Pelodiscus sinensis: one gene and its partner. The protein of the gene in region 2 interacts with the protein of the main gene of each other region in a biochemical or structural test. Links are inferred from orthologs where the notes say so. Each region holds a gene or a part of one and is shown on either strand. Other genes may lie near its edges.

Region 1 (7,444 bases), on a different chromosome or scaffold from region 2:
AACATCTCCTTCATTCTCTTTGTCTAGGAAGGAAAGGGTTGTCATCTTCAGCTTGACAAGATCACTGCAAGAAAAAAAAATAAAAATCACTTATTGAGTTACTGAAAAATCCTCTGGGAACAAACAGTGAGAACAGTCATGGTTTTGGTGTCTCTTCATACAAAACATGCGTTGAGATATTGATATTGACTATGCTGTCCATTTGACATTTTGTAGATGAGAGTTTAAGTGAGACTTGCCCAGTGTTCTCTGTAAGCTTTGAACTTGTAGAGCCACTCAAGGCAAATTCCAATGCCACCCAGCTGATTAGCAGAGCGCCCACAGCTAAATTTGTGTTTCTCTTGATGGCACATGCATATTTGCACATGCCTCAGTGCACACAATTTATTCTGCACATGGAAGGAAGAAATCTACACATGGGATGGAAAGACTACAGGGAACATTGGATGGACCTGTCCCTGTTTTGCACAGCAGTACAAAGATGTAGGCTTTTAACTATTTAAACCTTCCAGTTAGGTGGCACCTGAATTCAGATTACATTGGCATACACAAATACACTACCTTATTTTGATCATATTCTTGCAAATCTTGCCTGATGTTGTAGGATCAGGATTATTTTTTACAATATGTAAATGTTTATTCCTAAACTACAATAAACCTAAACAAAGTTGTTTAAGTATATCTTAATGCATTGTTTGTTCACCTGTTAGCAAGATTTGCAAGTGCAAATTAATGTTCCCTCTATAATACCAAAAATGACAAACTATCAATTTGGAAGCCCAAGCACATTATTTCCAGCCTGCTTTAGTAGTTAACTTTATCAGGAGCTGACTGTCAGAAAGAGGCAACTTAGAGAGCTTGGAAGTACTGTTAAGAGAAACTCAAAGGGGTACTAACTTGATTTTTCCACACTAGAATAATTTGTGCCTCTGATTGGCTCATCTAATCTTATTGTAACTTTAGGAGCAAAGAGAAGACAAGTCTGTTTCCTCAACCTTGGATTAATCATCATGGAAGCCTGATAAAGTGAGAACATTACTGGATAATTGTTCAACCCCAATTAGCATTACTGCACCAACACAGTAGGGCTACGTCTACACTGAGGCTTTTTGTACAAGAACAGCTGTTCTTGCGCAAAAAATTGTGGAGCGTCTACACTGCACGTGTTTTTGCGCAAGTAAATTTACAGTAAAGCATCAGAAAAAGAGGGCTTCTTGTGTAAGAGTTATTCCTCTCCCCATGAGGAATAAGCCCTCTTGTGCAAGAAGGCTAGTGTGGACGGGAACAGGGGTTTCTTGCGCAAGAAACCCCTATGGCTAAAATGGCCATCAGAGCTTTCTTGTGCAAGTGTCCACACCACCATGGCGGCTCTCGCACAAAAACACATGGCAATGTGGACATGGTCTTGCGCAAGACCTTTTTGCAGAAGAACTCTTGCGCAAGAAGCCTGCCATGTAGACATAGCCTAGTAGTAGCATGAAGTAGCAGTAACTAGACATAAGAATAGCCATACCACAGAGGGGGGCTATAGTAGGAGAGTCACTCCCCTCCTTAAACCCAACTCTGGTAGAAGGTTGAGACTGTGAAGCCAGCAGCTAAGGCAAACCACAGCCAATCAGAAAGCAGCTGGATTACTGTAAACAGGGGCTCCTGGAGGGGAGGGGATTCTTGCACCAGATGTGGCGCAGGATGGGCCTGGCTGCTTGGGTAAGCTAGAGAGAAGGTACCTGAGACAACAGGCAGTGGGTCACTGAGGAAATATAGTTAGAGGTTTGGGGTCCCTTGGGAAGGGGGGACTGCAGAGTGTGCAGGGGGTGGGCATCATCATCATCATCAGGCAGTACAGTCAGGAAAGGGCACCAAGACCTGAACCAGTGCAGAAGACAGGTAATTTAAGGAGAGACCCGAGTGCCTTCAGCTTTGACAAGCTAGTTCCTGAGACCAGCAGGAAAGACTGTGGCAACAAGTTCTGACCTGCTACAAGACAAACAATAACCTACAGATAACATCCAGTCAATCAAACCTCAAACCCAGCCAGGGAACAGGATAGCCTTGCCAGGAGGAGCCAACCCAACTCCCAAATAGCACCAGTACAGCCAGTTATCTAGCCACCCAGGGATACTAGCTCCCAGTCTTTCCCCTTCTGCCACCTCTTCCCTACAGCCTCAGCTCCTCCAGTGCCAGAGACATGCAGTCACTCTGCAGCTTCAGTCCTCTGGGCAGCACTATCTGGGGTTGGATGGGGCATATAAATCTTATGGTTTGGCCAAGGGACAGGAAGAGGCTAGGGGGGAAAGTAGTAGGCCACACCTGGCTATCTGGGGAAGGCACTCCCTCCCCCAGCCTTCCATACAATTTCTGTACCCAGTGCTGACCTCAGGACAAGAGATTTCCTCACCCCACCATACCAGGTCAGACTACCAACAGTAGCAAAAGCCAAGTGCCTCAGAACAAATCATTCAATGAAGAACCCCTCATCACCAATTCCCAGAGCAACACTAGTATGAGCATTTCACATCCTTTTGACCATAAAAAGGAAGTGAAATGATGTATTGAAGCAGTTCTGAACAGCAGAGTAGGGTATCACTGGCAGGTAAACAATGTAAGGGATGAGTGCAGACTGTGCCCTCAGGAGATAGTCCCCAGGGAGCGTTATCCAGGCAAAGAATTACACTCACCTAGCAGCGTGAGAGTTACAGGACACTTGGAAAGTTCTCCCAGGTCCTGCTCAGAAGGGCGAGCACTTACCCGGCCAAGACCCCCAGGAGGCAGTCGGGGAAGGCAAAACAATGCGACTCTTCGGAGAGACAAGGCCAACCCCGCCTGCGGAGGAGACACAGCCTGAGCCCTCACCCCAGAAGCCACAGCTGAGCTGCAGCCGCCACTGCCGCGGGAAAGCCACTAGCAGGGGAGATTGAACACGAGCCCCGCCGCCGCTTAAGCCCCCAGGCGGAAACAGCGCAGCTCACTGGAGGACGCGGCCTCGCTTGCAAGCGCACGCGGAAGGGACATTTCGAAAAGGACAAACCCAGAGCGCGCACCAGCTACGGAACCGCGCAAACGGCCACACGCCAGCACCTCGAGCCATCGCGCGCCACTACCCGCGAGGCCATTTTTAAACATCCACCTCTCCTCCCATTGGCTGCTTGACACGAAAACTAACGCTTCGGCTGCTGATTGGCTAGTTTTGCAGAGCCGACGGGTGAGTGGGTGTTTCTAGGTCGCTCGAGCTGCTGTCAGTCTGGGGGCGGCCGGAAGCCTGGCAGCGGAGGGAGCCTAATCAGGCCTAATTCTTGCCCACTACACTTGTCGCGTTGCATGAGACGGGGAAGCTTTACGGGAGGAGCCGTGAATGCTGCTTGCTCCGCATGTCACTGGCCCCGCGGGGCAGTTCACATGGTTCGGCCTCTTGGTTGTCCTGTTCTCTCCAGCGAATAAACCAGCTCGTTGTTCACGGCCATGCTGTTTCATAAGCATTGCTCAGCTCTGGGCCCTACATCAGCCGAAGACCACACCGACATCTGCGTGTGTCACCCCCAGCCCAACAATGTCCAGACCGCAGCTCCACAGCTCTTGCTTCAAGCCGGTGTAACCCGGACCCGTTTGGGTTGGGATGGACACAGAGACCGTGTGGACGCCAGGGGGGCAGGATGGAGGCCAATTCGGTGCCGTTCGAGTCTTTTCTTGTCACGGGAAATTGCATAAGTGCCGCCAAAGGGCAGTCGAGGGGCCCTTGGGTGCCGCCTGGCAGAGGTGGCTACCGCCCAGCCAGCGCCTGGTCCGGCCGCTGCTTCTTGCAGGGCTCTGCGGTGTCGCTCGGGTTCGCAGACCAACCTCCGGGCGTGCCATGCCTGAGTCCTGTGCACGCCCAGCTCCGTCCGTGCACTGGGGGCCCGCAGCACCTGCCCCTTCCCCGGGGTACAGCTGCGTTCGGAGCAGGGAACAGGTTCCTTTAAGAGACGGAGCCAGGGCCGGCGGCGCGATGCATTGTGGGAGCGGGGGGGGAGGGGAGAATGAGCCGAGATCTAATCGGTAAACCCGTTCGGAGCTGGAGCTGAGGCCTGTTCCGCTCCAGGGGGGGTACGGCTGCGTCGCGCCTCGTGACCGCGCCAGGCCCCGCTCTCGAGCCGGAGGCGTTGCGGTGGCGTCTGTCTGCGGGGCTAGGCACCGCGTAACTCCCCCTTCCTCCCTCAGTTTCCCTCGCGAGGGGTCCGTGGATGCCTCGGTGCTGAGAGTCCCTCCGGCTGCGCATGATCCCCGGCCCGGCCTCCGGATCACAACGCAGGCCGGGCTGTGCAGACAAGAACCTGCCGCGGTTCCTGTCCCGCGGCTCGCGGCTCTGCGGGAGAGGAGTGGAGCCGTAGCTGAAGTAGGGGACCAGGGCCGCACCTTCACTTCCGGGGCCAGCCTAGTCGGTAGTGAGAACTGGTGAGTAGCTCCTGATTTGTATGATTTCAGACCGGATTCCTGAGTTTTATAGTCAGCTGTGTGCCTGACGTATTCCTTGGGTAAAGCGGCTAGTGAGATTGGCATAGCACTCCTCAGCTTCACTTGATTTTTGTAATACTTATTTCATGTATGTTTATAAAATGCCCTGGAGTCTCTGCAGAAGTACTGGATAAAGGTACGTTTTCTGCTTGCATCACAAAGCATGTTCGTGAGAGTCCTGAAACCATTTAGATATTTATTAAAAAACAATTCAAGGGGGCTATGTCCCCTGCTCGCTATGCTTGCCAACCCACCCACCCCCACCACTTTTGCAGCCATAGAGTGTGAGAGCTACGCTCACCAATCTCCCCCAGTCTCCCGCCCCTCGCCCCCCCCCCCCCACACACACACTTACCTACCTCTCTGGAGACAGGTGTCTGGCCAGGTGGAGGGAGCAGGAGCAGGCTCAGGGTAAGTGTCTGGCTATGGGGGAAGGTGCAGAAGTGGGCAGAGGGAGCAGGATCTCTGTGGAAGAGGTGCATGAGGTGGCTGGGTGTGTGAGATTGTCAGGGCTGTTCCCCACTCAAGCACTCCTAGTACAGAAGATGGGGGCCTGCAAAGAGCTTAAAAGAAAAAGATACCTTTGCTTCTATAGCACTGATTACAAAAATCTTCCCCCTAGAATCACAATATGCAAATTTTGGGGGATCACTGCCACCATCAAGTGATTTTTATCCCTAAAAAAACCAGGGGTGAACACTTGAACCTACTGCCAAGGTTACCCCTAGCTCTTTTGCCCTAAAAGAGCTTGAAAAAGAAAAGAGGAAAACAAGCTACAGTCTCCAGTAGCTGACCTCTCAGTGTGAGGCAGGCAGATACACACAGACAGACCGACCTTCCAGGACACTAGAATCAAATCATCAGCTAAAAAAAGTGTCTTTTATTACAAAACAAAAGGTAAACTTGATAAAGCATTCTTGGTTGCTAGATGTTACAGAGCAACTAAGGAAAACAAATTAAAACAGAGAAAAGACTCTGGGCACAATGCGATATGGTAAACGTGGAGGCATAGATTCACACAGCAGTTCAAACCAAACCACAAAATAAAAAAAATACCCTGAACGCAACTAGATTCACTTTTTTCCCCATTACTTACTTCCATTCTTTTCTTGGTTCAGTCCACTTCCATTCCCTGAATTCCTTGGACTCATGGTAGTCCTGCCTGGGTTTAAATCATTCTATGTCTTTCAACTCCTGGTTTTTCCCTCCCACACAAAGAAGGCATGCAAGGAATCTTATACAATTCAAATTTCATCCCACTATCTCCAGTGGTCTACTAGCTACCTGAGTTTAACCCCTCATTCACTGGGTGCTGGTCAGCACTCCTTCTGTCCATTACAGGGGTCTTGGTTTGGGGGGTATGAATGAAGGGGCTGAGGGTGTGAGGTCTTGGCAGGACAGTGAGTGAGGGGATGGGGTGCATGGTCTCGACAGGGTGGTGAGTGAGTGGGCTGGTACCATGCTGGGAGTCTAGGCTGGTGCTCCAACCTGCCCCCCCCCCAGCCGAGACTCACCACCTCCACCACTGTCACTCACCGCCCTGCTGAGATCATGTACCCCTAACCCCCTCACTCACCAGCTCCAGTTCAGCCCCATCCCTGCTCCTCCTGCAGCAGGGAGACTGTGCTGGCGCTCCAGCCTCACTCACTGCCTTGGGAAAAGAGGCTGGTCAGTGGGAAAGGTGGAGGTACACATTCTGGCCTTGGGGCCGGCCAGTTGCAATGGTAGTGTGGCACGAGGAGGGTCTGTGGGGGGAAGCCAGCTGTGGCCAGTGTGTGGGGGCAGGAGCTGATGGCGGTGGCCTATGACCCCCACCCATGGGGGAGTGATGTAAGCACCAGAGGAGCTGCCTGGACCTGGGGGCAGGGCAACACCAGGAATGTGGTGATGTCACTCTGTCATCCTGCAGGAAATTTTTTTATAGAGAGAGACTTTATGCCATTACTTACTTCATTTGCAAGAGATAAAAAAGTAGAGTATATTGATTGTTCATTTTTCAGTACTAGTGTTCTGTAATGTATTATCCTTTTCATTGTACTTGTATTTGTTCATGTCAGAAAGAAAAAGACCATGGCATCTGGGACAGTTGAAATAATAAACTCTACCCCTGCGGGAGGGTCAAATGATGTAAGTTTGGAGGAGCCAAAAAAGATGACAAGAGAAGACTGGAGGAAGAAGAAGGAATTAGAAGAACAGAGAAAGCTGGGAAATGCACCAGCTGAAGTGGATGAGGAAGGAAAGTAAGTTTCATCTTAGGCAGGGGTCAGCAACCTATGGTTCCCCAGCCAGATATTACATTAAGATAATTAATGTTTATTTTGGCCCACCTGTCACAAAGACTAATGCTGCAGTGGCAGTATCTTAGCCAATGATATTAATCCAAGGCGTGATTATTGCTAATTAAAAAATTATCCTGTTTTTCACTTATTCAAATGGCATAAACAATGTAGCACATGTCTAATTTTTTTTCTTTTTACAGAGATATCAACCCTCATATTCCTCAGTACATATCTTCAGTGCCGTGGTACATAGATCCTTCAAAAAGACCTACATTGAAGCATCAGAGACCTCAGCCAGAGAAGCAAAAAGAGTTCAGCTCATCTGGGGAATGGTACAAACGAGGGGTTCAAGAGGTGTGTAGCAAAGATGAAAACGGACTATTGTTTTGGGAAGGGAAGAATTGTAAAATACAGTAAATTCTTCTTGGAGTGAAATTGATTTAGCCTTGCAGTGATTTTTGTTATGAAAAGTCTTTCACTAGAACTAATCTAAGTTTTAGTAAATCTAGTGTTCAGTTTTGTCCCCACATAGAAGCATTGATTCCTCTTTTTTATCTACTTGTTGGAAGCATCCTTAAAAGAACAATTAACAGTATATTTAGTCTGTGTTTTTCTGTTGTGATTGCCTCTGACTATTTGGCAACAAATTGAAGTAAAATATTAATTTCTTTCTCCAT
Region 2 (7,630 bases):
GGGTCTTGGTCTACACTTGGGCTCCCTGTACTGGGAGCTCGTTTACACTGGCGCTTTACAGCGCTGCAATTTGCTGTGCTGGGAGGGAGAGAGTGGTATTTTCACACCCCTGAGAGAGAAAGCAACAGCACAGTAATTTGCTAGTGTAGACAAGCCGTAGGTTTGTGTGATAATGAAAGCAGAGTGTTATCAACAGAACTTCCAAGCTAGAGAAGATAACATTACAAGTGTCCATTTTACACATCAAACAACATACCTCAAATAAAATACTCCATATCTTTGCCAAGGAAATTTCAGAATATCAAATATTTCCCACCTGGTTAGCCATAATCAGGACAGCAGAAAAGATGCTGATTGCATGTATTTGTAAAAATGTTAGTGAATGAAAGCAAACAATATCTATGTAAGCGGGCATTTACTTTCTTTCCATACTGAAGCCTACACTAGCCACTTTTTGCTAGAATTTCCAACTGCTGCTACCACCTGCCCAGCTCGAGATGCTAACTTGAGAGAGTATTACTGGAGAAAGGGCATCAGATGGCCAGAAGTGTTTTCAGCAATGCGTTGTCTAATGTGGTTCAGAGCAGACCTATAGAATTTGGCATAAAGATGATGAACTCATCTACAATAATAGTGCCACCACTGCTTCCACCTTGTTGTGTAGGCTAAATCAGTGGGGTAGATGATGTATCCCACAAAAAGCTACATCCTTCTATCTTTTTAGAGAGAAGAGGAAACAAGAGAAATTAGATACTTTTGTTGTGCTCACTATTGTCATTATGAAAAACTGTCCAGCATGCTAAGCATCTTGGCCGTGTAGAAGCTGGGAGAGTTTACAAGTTACCAAGAAAAAATTTATTTTGCATGCAAGACCTTTGAAGCCCTATGTCCCAATTTATTTCTAAAGACAGAAACCTGAAAAAGATTGGAAGTCTGGTGGAGGGGAAAGGAGAGGAGATAGCATGGGAAAATTGAAGTGGGAGGGAACATAGATAGGATAGCTAAGGCAAAGTTGATATAGGAAAGAGAGAACGGATAACTTCTGAGATGGTATCACTTCTGAAAAGAGACTAAAATAAAAAGGGAAAATATCCTGGAAAAAAAATTAGACTTTAAAAAAGGGGGAGAAAAAAAGAACCTAAAGTTATTTCCTCCTTTGGGTCTTTCAGGCGAGACTTGGTCTCTTTTAGACCAAGTCTACACCAGACCTGGAAGGCCAGGTTAAGGTACGCAACTCCAGCTATGTAAAATATGTCACTGGAGTCTGCTTACCTTAAGCTGAGCTCTGCTCTTGTTGGCCTCCCTCTGTGAAGACCGGTGCCAACGCTCTCATCGGCTTCCCTTCTCCACAACAGCCAGGAGTACAAGTGCCACATGGAGCCACCCTCGGCATTCGATTTACGGCGTCTTACCTACACCCACTAAATCTAACACCAGAAGATCAATATCCAGCAGCAAGTGAAGACCTGGCCTTAGACTGCATGCTCCTTGGGACAATGAATGCCCTTCACTTGTGTGTAATCCACAGTGACAAGCACATTGTGGGTATTTAAATACAAAAACAGCAGCCATGGAGGGTGAATGAAACCAGAAAGGAGAAATCGAGGGGTTCCATAAGGAGTTGGGCTGGAACAGTGGAGATGGGAAGAATCCCTCTTGGACGTGCACTAGCCACTATTATGCTGGCTAGTATCAACTCATTGTTTCCTCATGCCCCCCTCCCTGCCCCCTCGTCCCACCTGCTCTCGTGCCCCCCTCCCTGCCCCCTCGTCCCACCTGCCCTCGTGCCCCCTCCCTGCCCCCTCGTCCCACCTGCCCTCGTACCCCCCTCCCTACCGCCTCGTCCCACCTGTCCTCGTGCCCCCCTCCCTGCCCCCTCGTCCCACCTGTCCTCGTGCCCCCCTCCCTGCCCCCTCGTCCCACCTGTCCTCGTGCCCCCTCCCTGCCCCCTCGTCCCACCTGCCCTCGTGCCCCCTCCCTGCCCCCTCGTCCCACCTGCCCCCGTGCCCCCTCCCTGCCCCCTCGTCCCACCTGTCCTCGTGCCCCCCTCCCTGCCCCCTCTTCCCACCTGTCCTCGTGCCCCCTCCCTGCCCCCTCGTCCCACCTATCCTCGTGCCCCCTCGTCCCCCCTGCCCTCGTGCCCCCTCCCTGCCCCCTCGTCCCACCTGCCCTCGTGCCCCCCTCCCTGCCCCCTCGTCCCACCTGCCCTCGTGCCCCCTCCCTGCCCCCTCGTCCCACCTGTCCTCGTGCCCCCCTCCCTGCCCCCTCGTCCCACCTGTCCTCGTGCCCCCTCCCTGCCCCCTCGTCCCCCCTGCCCTCGTGCCCCCTCCCTGCCCCCTCGTCCCCCCTGCCCTCGTGCCCCCTCCCTGCCCCCTCGTCCCCCCTGCCCCCTCCCTGCCCCCTCGTCCCACCTGCCCTCGTGCCCCCTCCCTGCCCCCTCGTCCCACCTGCCCCCTCCCTGCCCCCTCGTCCCACCTGCCCTCGTGCCCCCTCCCTGCCCCCTCGTCCCACCTGCCCTCGTGCCCCCCTCCCTGCCCCCTCGTCCCACCTGCCCTCGTGCCCCCTCCCTGCCCCCTCGTCCCACCTGCCCTCGTGCCCCCCTCCCTGCCCCCTCGTCCCCCCTGCCCCCTCCCTGCCCCCTCGTCCCACCTGCCCTCGTGCCCCCTCCCTGCCCCCTCGTCCCCCCTGCCCTCGTGCCCCCCTCGTGCCCCCCTCCCTGCCCCCTCGTCCCACCTGCCCTCGTGCCCCCCTCCCTGCCCCCTCGTGCCCCCCTCCCTGTCTCCATCGGCTGTCTTACGAGCTAGGCACATGAGGCTCTGCCGCTGGGGCGGGGATCGTGTCCAGCCCCTCGCCCAAGCGAGAGGTCCCGATCGGCCCCCAGGGCTGTGGCAGGACGGAGCGCAGGGATACCAGGGCCGAGGTGGGGGGAGGGAGACCAGCCAGTGGCGGGCCCCTCTGGGAGATTCGAGGGGAGCCTGGCCGGGGGGGGGGGGGGTCTGGAGGAGGCGGGCCGGCAGGGGGAGGGGCTGCCGGGTCAGTGCGGTGCGGGCCGTGCGGGGCCTGGTCCCCGCTCCAGGGGCGGGGCCTCGGGGCCCCACGTCTGAGGCGGGCGCTGAGGGGCCCCTGCGGCCGGGCGGGCGGGGGGGGCCCCGCCAGGCCGGGCTGGCTCGGGAGAGGCCGGGCCCGCTAGGCCGGGGCCTCGGGGCGGCTGCGGCTCGGTACCTGCACGGGCTCCTGCAGCACCGTCATCCTGTCCCCTCAGCGCCCGCGGCGGGGCGAGTCCTGGCGGCGGCGCGGCGCGGCCCGGCCCCTGCTCATTTAAACTCGCAGCGACCGTTACCGGGGCAGGCACCCGGGAGGGAAGGAAGGAGGCCGGCCAGGCGCCGACTGCCTCCGAGCGGGGACGGGAACACCCGAGGGGAGCCGGAAATAGCCGAGCGGGGGCGGAAACAGCCGAGGGGAGCCGGAAATAGCCGAGCGGGGGCGGAAACAGCCGAGGGCGGAGCGCGCCACAGGCGCGGGGAGGGAGAGCGCCGAACGGAGACGGAAACACCCGAGCAGCGCCCGAGAGGCCCGAGCTGACGGAGAGAGCCGAGCGCTCCCCGCGCCAGGAGCTGGGCTGGGCGGCGCAGGCAGGCGGAGCGCGGGGGGCGTGGTCTGCCCAGCCCTGCCTGTCTGCGTCTCCCAGGCTCCGCCCCGTCAAATCCCGCATCGCCCCCTTCCCCATCCCCTCCTCTTCCCTCCTCCTCCCGCTCCCTCCCCTTCTTCTTCCCCTTCCCTTCATCTTCCTCCTGCAACTTCCCCTCCCCTTCCCTCCTCCTCTCTCTTCCCCCTTCCCCTTCCTCCTCTTCTTCTTCCCCTTCCCCTTCCCTTTATCTTCCTCTTCCCCTCCTCCTCTCTTCATCTTCCTCCTTCCCCTTCCTCCTACCTTCTTCTTCCCCTTCATCTTCCTCCTCCCCCTCCTCCTCTCTTCATCTTCCTCCTGCAACTTCCCCTCCCCTTCCCTCCTCCTCTCTCTTACCCCTTCCTCTTCCCCTTCCTCCTCTTCATCTTCCTCCTTCCCCTCCTCCTATCTTCTTCTTCCCCTTCCCCTTCCCCACTCTCCCCTTATCTTCCTCCTCTCCCTCCTCCTCTCTTCATCTTCCTCCTGCAACTTCCCCTCCCCTTCCCTCCTCCTCTCTCTTCCCCTTCCCCTTCCTCCTGTTCATCTTCCTCCTTCCTCCTTCCACCTTCTTCTTCCCCTTCCCCCTCTTCCCCTTCCCTTTATCTTCCTCCTCCCCCTTCCTCCTCTCTTCATCTTCCTCCTGCACCTTCCTCTCTCTCTTCCCCTAACCCTTCCCTCCTCCTCTCTCTTCCCCTTCCCCCTCCCCCCTCATCTTTCTCCTTCCCTTCCTCCCCTTCCCTCTTCATCTTCCTCCTCCTCTTCCCTCCTCCCTCCTTCCCTTCTCTCTTCCTTCCTCCTCTCTCTTCCTCTTCCCCCTTCCCCTTCCTCCTCTTCATCTTCCTCCTTCCCCTCCTCCTACCTTCTTCTTCCCCTGCCCCTCTCTCCCCCTTCCCTTTATCTTCCTCCTCCCCCTTCCTCCTCTCTTCCTCACCCTCTTCATCTTCCTCCTGCACCTTCCCCTCTCTCTTCCTCTCCCCTTCCGCCTTCCTCCCCTTCCGTCTTCATCTGCCTCCTCCTCTTCCCATCCCTCTCTCTTCCTCTGTCTTCCCCTTCCCTCCTCTTCAGCTTCCTTCTCCCCCTCATCTTCCTCCTTCCCTTCCTCCTTCTTCCCCTTCCCTCTTCATCTTCCTCCTCATCTTCCTCCTTCCCCTCCCCTCTCTCTTCCCTTTCCTTCTTCTCCCCTTTTCTTCCCCTTCCCATTTTTCTCCTCCCCCTTCATCTTCCTCCTCTTCCCCCTTCCTCCTCCCGCTCCCTTCCCTTCTGTCTTCCTCTTCCCTCCTCCTCACCTTCCTCCTCTCTTCCTCGCCCTCCCCTTCATCTTCCTCCTCCCCTTACCTTCTCTCTTCCTCGCCTTCCCTTTCACTCTTCTCTTCCCCTTCCCTCCTCCTCTCTTCCTCCTCTTCTTCTTCCCTTTCACTCTCCCAGTCCCCTCCTCCTCTTCTTCCTCTTTCCTCCTCCTTCTTCTCTATTTCATTCTTCTTCCCCTCCTTCTCTATTCCTTCTTTTTTCCCTACTCACCTTACCTTGCCCTTTTCTTTCTCTCCTTTCCCCTCTTTTCCTTTCCTCCCCTCCTCTTCCTCTCCAATCCCTGCTCTCCTTCTCCCTTGTCTCTCTCTTTCCCCTTGTATGCAGCCCCACTCCAGTCCACCCTTTTTCTAAGGACTATTGGCAGCCGAGTGACCCTTTTCCGTGCAGCAGCAGTGTCCTCTGGTGGCCACTGAAAGCTCCTCCATAACTGACTCCTAAAGTCTGAAAATGTCTCATGTCCCTGGCGCTGCCCTCCAACTGGCAGGCCCCAGGGCTGCAACCCTCACTCCCCCAGCAGCACAGGGACAGCCCAGCAGAGAGAGGAGTTTTTGCAATTAGTGCAAACTTGTCTTCGCAGGGAAATCGCAATGGGCGCCATTTCAGATTTTGGTGGGGGAGTGGCGACCTGTGCATGCCGTGATGGAGGGTAATGAGAGCATGGGGAGGAAAACTGAGGACAGCGGCTTTCAGCAGTGTTACTGAGCATGCTCGGTACAAACCAAGTACCAAATGGGGGAGGAACCAATTCCTTCCACCCTCCCCACCATATCATCTCTGTCCCAGGGCTACTAAGGCACTGGAAAACTCTGCTTTTTTGGCTGACAACTTAGCAGTTAGCAGGAGCACTGAATCTAATTTCAATATACAAGAAAATTAAATAAATATTAGACCCACTCAGCTCTAACATATTCTGACATCTTATGGCACGTCACTTAAGGGACACTATTTAGCCTTAAAATGTTAATGTCTATTCTTACTTAGTTACTAAATCCGGGGATAGAGAAACCCTGTCAGAACTTGTGGGCTGTCTCTCAGCTCTGGAAGGGAAGTGGAATCTAGTGGGTTACAAAAGGGGGAGATAAATTTCAGCTCGATATAAGAGGATCAGAATGGTCATACTGGGTAGGACCAAAGGTCTTTCTAGCCCAGTGTCCTGTCTACCAACATTGGCCAATGTCAGGTATGTCAAGAGGAATAAATAGAAGAGGCAATCATGAGCCATTCCCTGTCGCCCATTCCTAGCTTCTGGCAAACAGAAACTAGGGATATCATCCCTGCTCAGTCTGGCTAGTAGCCATTGATGGACCTATCCGCCTTGAACTTATTTCGTTCTTATTGGAACCCTGTTATAGTTTTACATCGGCTGCCCATAGATTTAATTGGGTCATCTTCTTGTGTTATGTTAGTGCAGAAATGAATAACAGATCCTTATTCTATTTTTCTATAGCTTTCATAGTTTTCAAGACCTCCAACATATCCCCCTACGCTTTAATCATTTCTTTTCCAAGATGAAAAATCGCAGTCTTGTTAATCTCTGTTCCTTACCCCTAATCATTTCTGTTGCCCTTTCTGTACCTTTTCCAAATCCAATATATCTTTTTTTTAGAGGGGGTGACCAGATCTGCATTCAAGATGTGGGCATACAATGATTTTATACACAGGCAATATGATATTTTGTCTTCTTATCTATTCCTTTTCCTAACGATTCCCAATATTTGGTTAGCTTTTTAGTTTTCAAACTGCCACTGCACACTGAGCAGATGTTTTCAAGGATGCCAAGATCTCTTTCTTGAGTGGTAACAGCTATTTTAGACCCCATCATTTTTATATGTATGGTTAGAATTATATTTTCTTATGTGCATTAATTTGCACTTATCAACACTGAATTCCATCTGCCTTTGTGTTGCCCAATCACCCAGTTTTGTGAGATCCCTTTGTAACTCTTCGCAGTCAGTTGTGAAGTAGTCATTGTTTACCCCTTTTTCTCATTTATGAGAAGTTTAACAGCAGTAATCTAAATGCAGATCCCAGCAGTCCACACTTCCTTCCCCCCAGCTTTTAAGTGGAGTACCTGGCAATGTTTTCATGGTGATCTAATGATCCTTCAATTACCCAAATAACCAGCCGTTTAACAAAACTCTGGTTATCTGAAGAAGTGGGCCATGCCCATGAAAGCTCATGATACCATCTACATGTTTTGTTTGTCTATAATGTGCTACCAGACTATTTGTTGTTTTTTAAGTTTATCCTGTACAGACTAGGCTACCCCCTGAAGCTATCCTAGTAGAGCTGTTCTGGAATTATTCCCAGTGTGGACCAGATTAGAGTCACCTTAATCTGGACTAATTTCCCTATGTAGACAAACCCTTAGGAAGAGGTGGGGAGGACTGTCAATGCTGAAGTGCTAAAAAATTGTTTCTTGCATGTCAGGAATGACTCTTTAGGTAGCATTTCAGCGGCAGATTCTTTTTCTGTTGCCCACAAAGAGCACTGCATTAAAAGAGTATTATTAAGGCTGCAGATGCAAGTGCTCAGCAATGAGAAAACACCAGGGCACTGTTCACAGGTTCAGCTTGGATTTTCTCTCTCCAATAACTGGTCGGCTACATCTACACTGGCATGATATTCTGAAAATGCTTTTAACGGAAAAGCTTTTAA

The links. The genes of interacting proteins can lie anywhere in the genome.
Region 1: the proteins of CDC27 (region 2) and PTTG1 form a complex in vitro, tested with the Homo sapiens proteins (3 studies listed by BioGRID). The link is inferred for Pelodiscus sinensis from reciprocal best matches to the Homo sapiens genes CDC27 and PTTG1.

What each region holds. Positions count from the first base shown.
Region 1 is NC_134727.1:14,827,879-14,835,322, forward strand, and holds the start of PTTG1 (securin), read right to left. Parts: upstream 3,151-7,444; 5' UTR 3,124-3,150; coding exon 3,029-3,123; intron 3,023-3,028; exon of another isoform or gene 2,824-3,022; coding exon 2,749-2,823; exon of another isoform or gene 2,679-2,748; intron 65-2,678; coding exon 1-64. Other genes in the region: pre-mRNA-splicing factor SLU7, read left to right, coding at 6,559-6,728, 6,968-7,121. UniProt on the Homo sapiens protein: Regulatory protein, which plays a central role in chromosome stability, in the p53/TP53 pathway, and DNA repair. Probably acts by blocking the action of key proteins.
Region 2 is NC_134739.1:6,834,793-6,842,422, reverse strand, and holds the start of CDC27 (cell division cycle protein 27 homolog), read right to left. Parts: upstream 3,408-7,630; 5' UTR 3,250-3,407; coding exon 3,223-3,249; intron 1-3,222. UniProt on the Homo sapiens protein: Component of the anaphase promoting complex/cyclosome (APC/C), a cell cycle-regulated E3 ubiquitin ligase that controls progression through mitosis and the G1 phase of the cell cycle.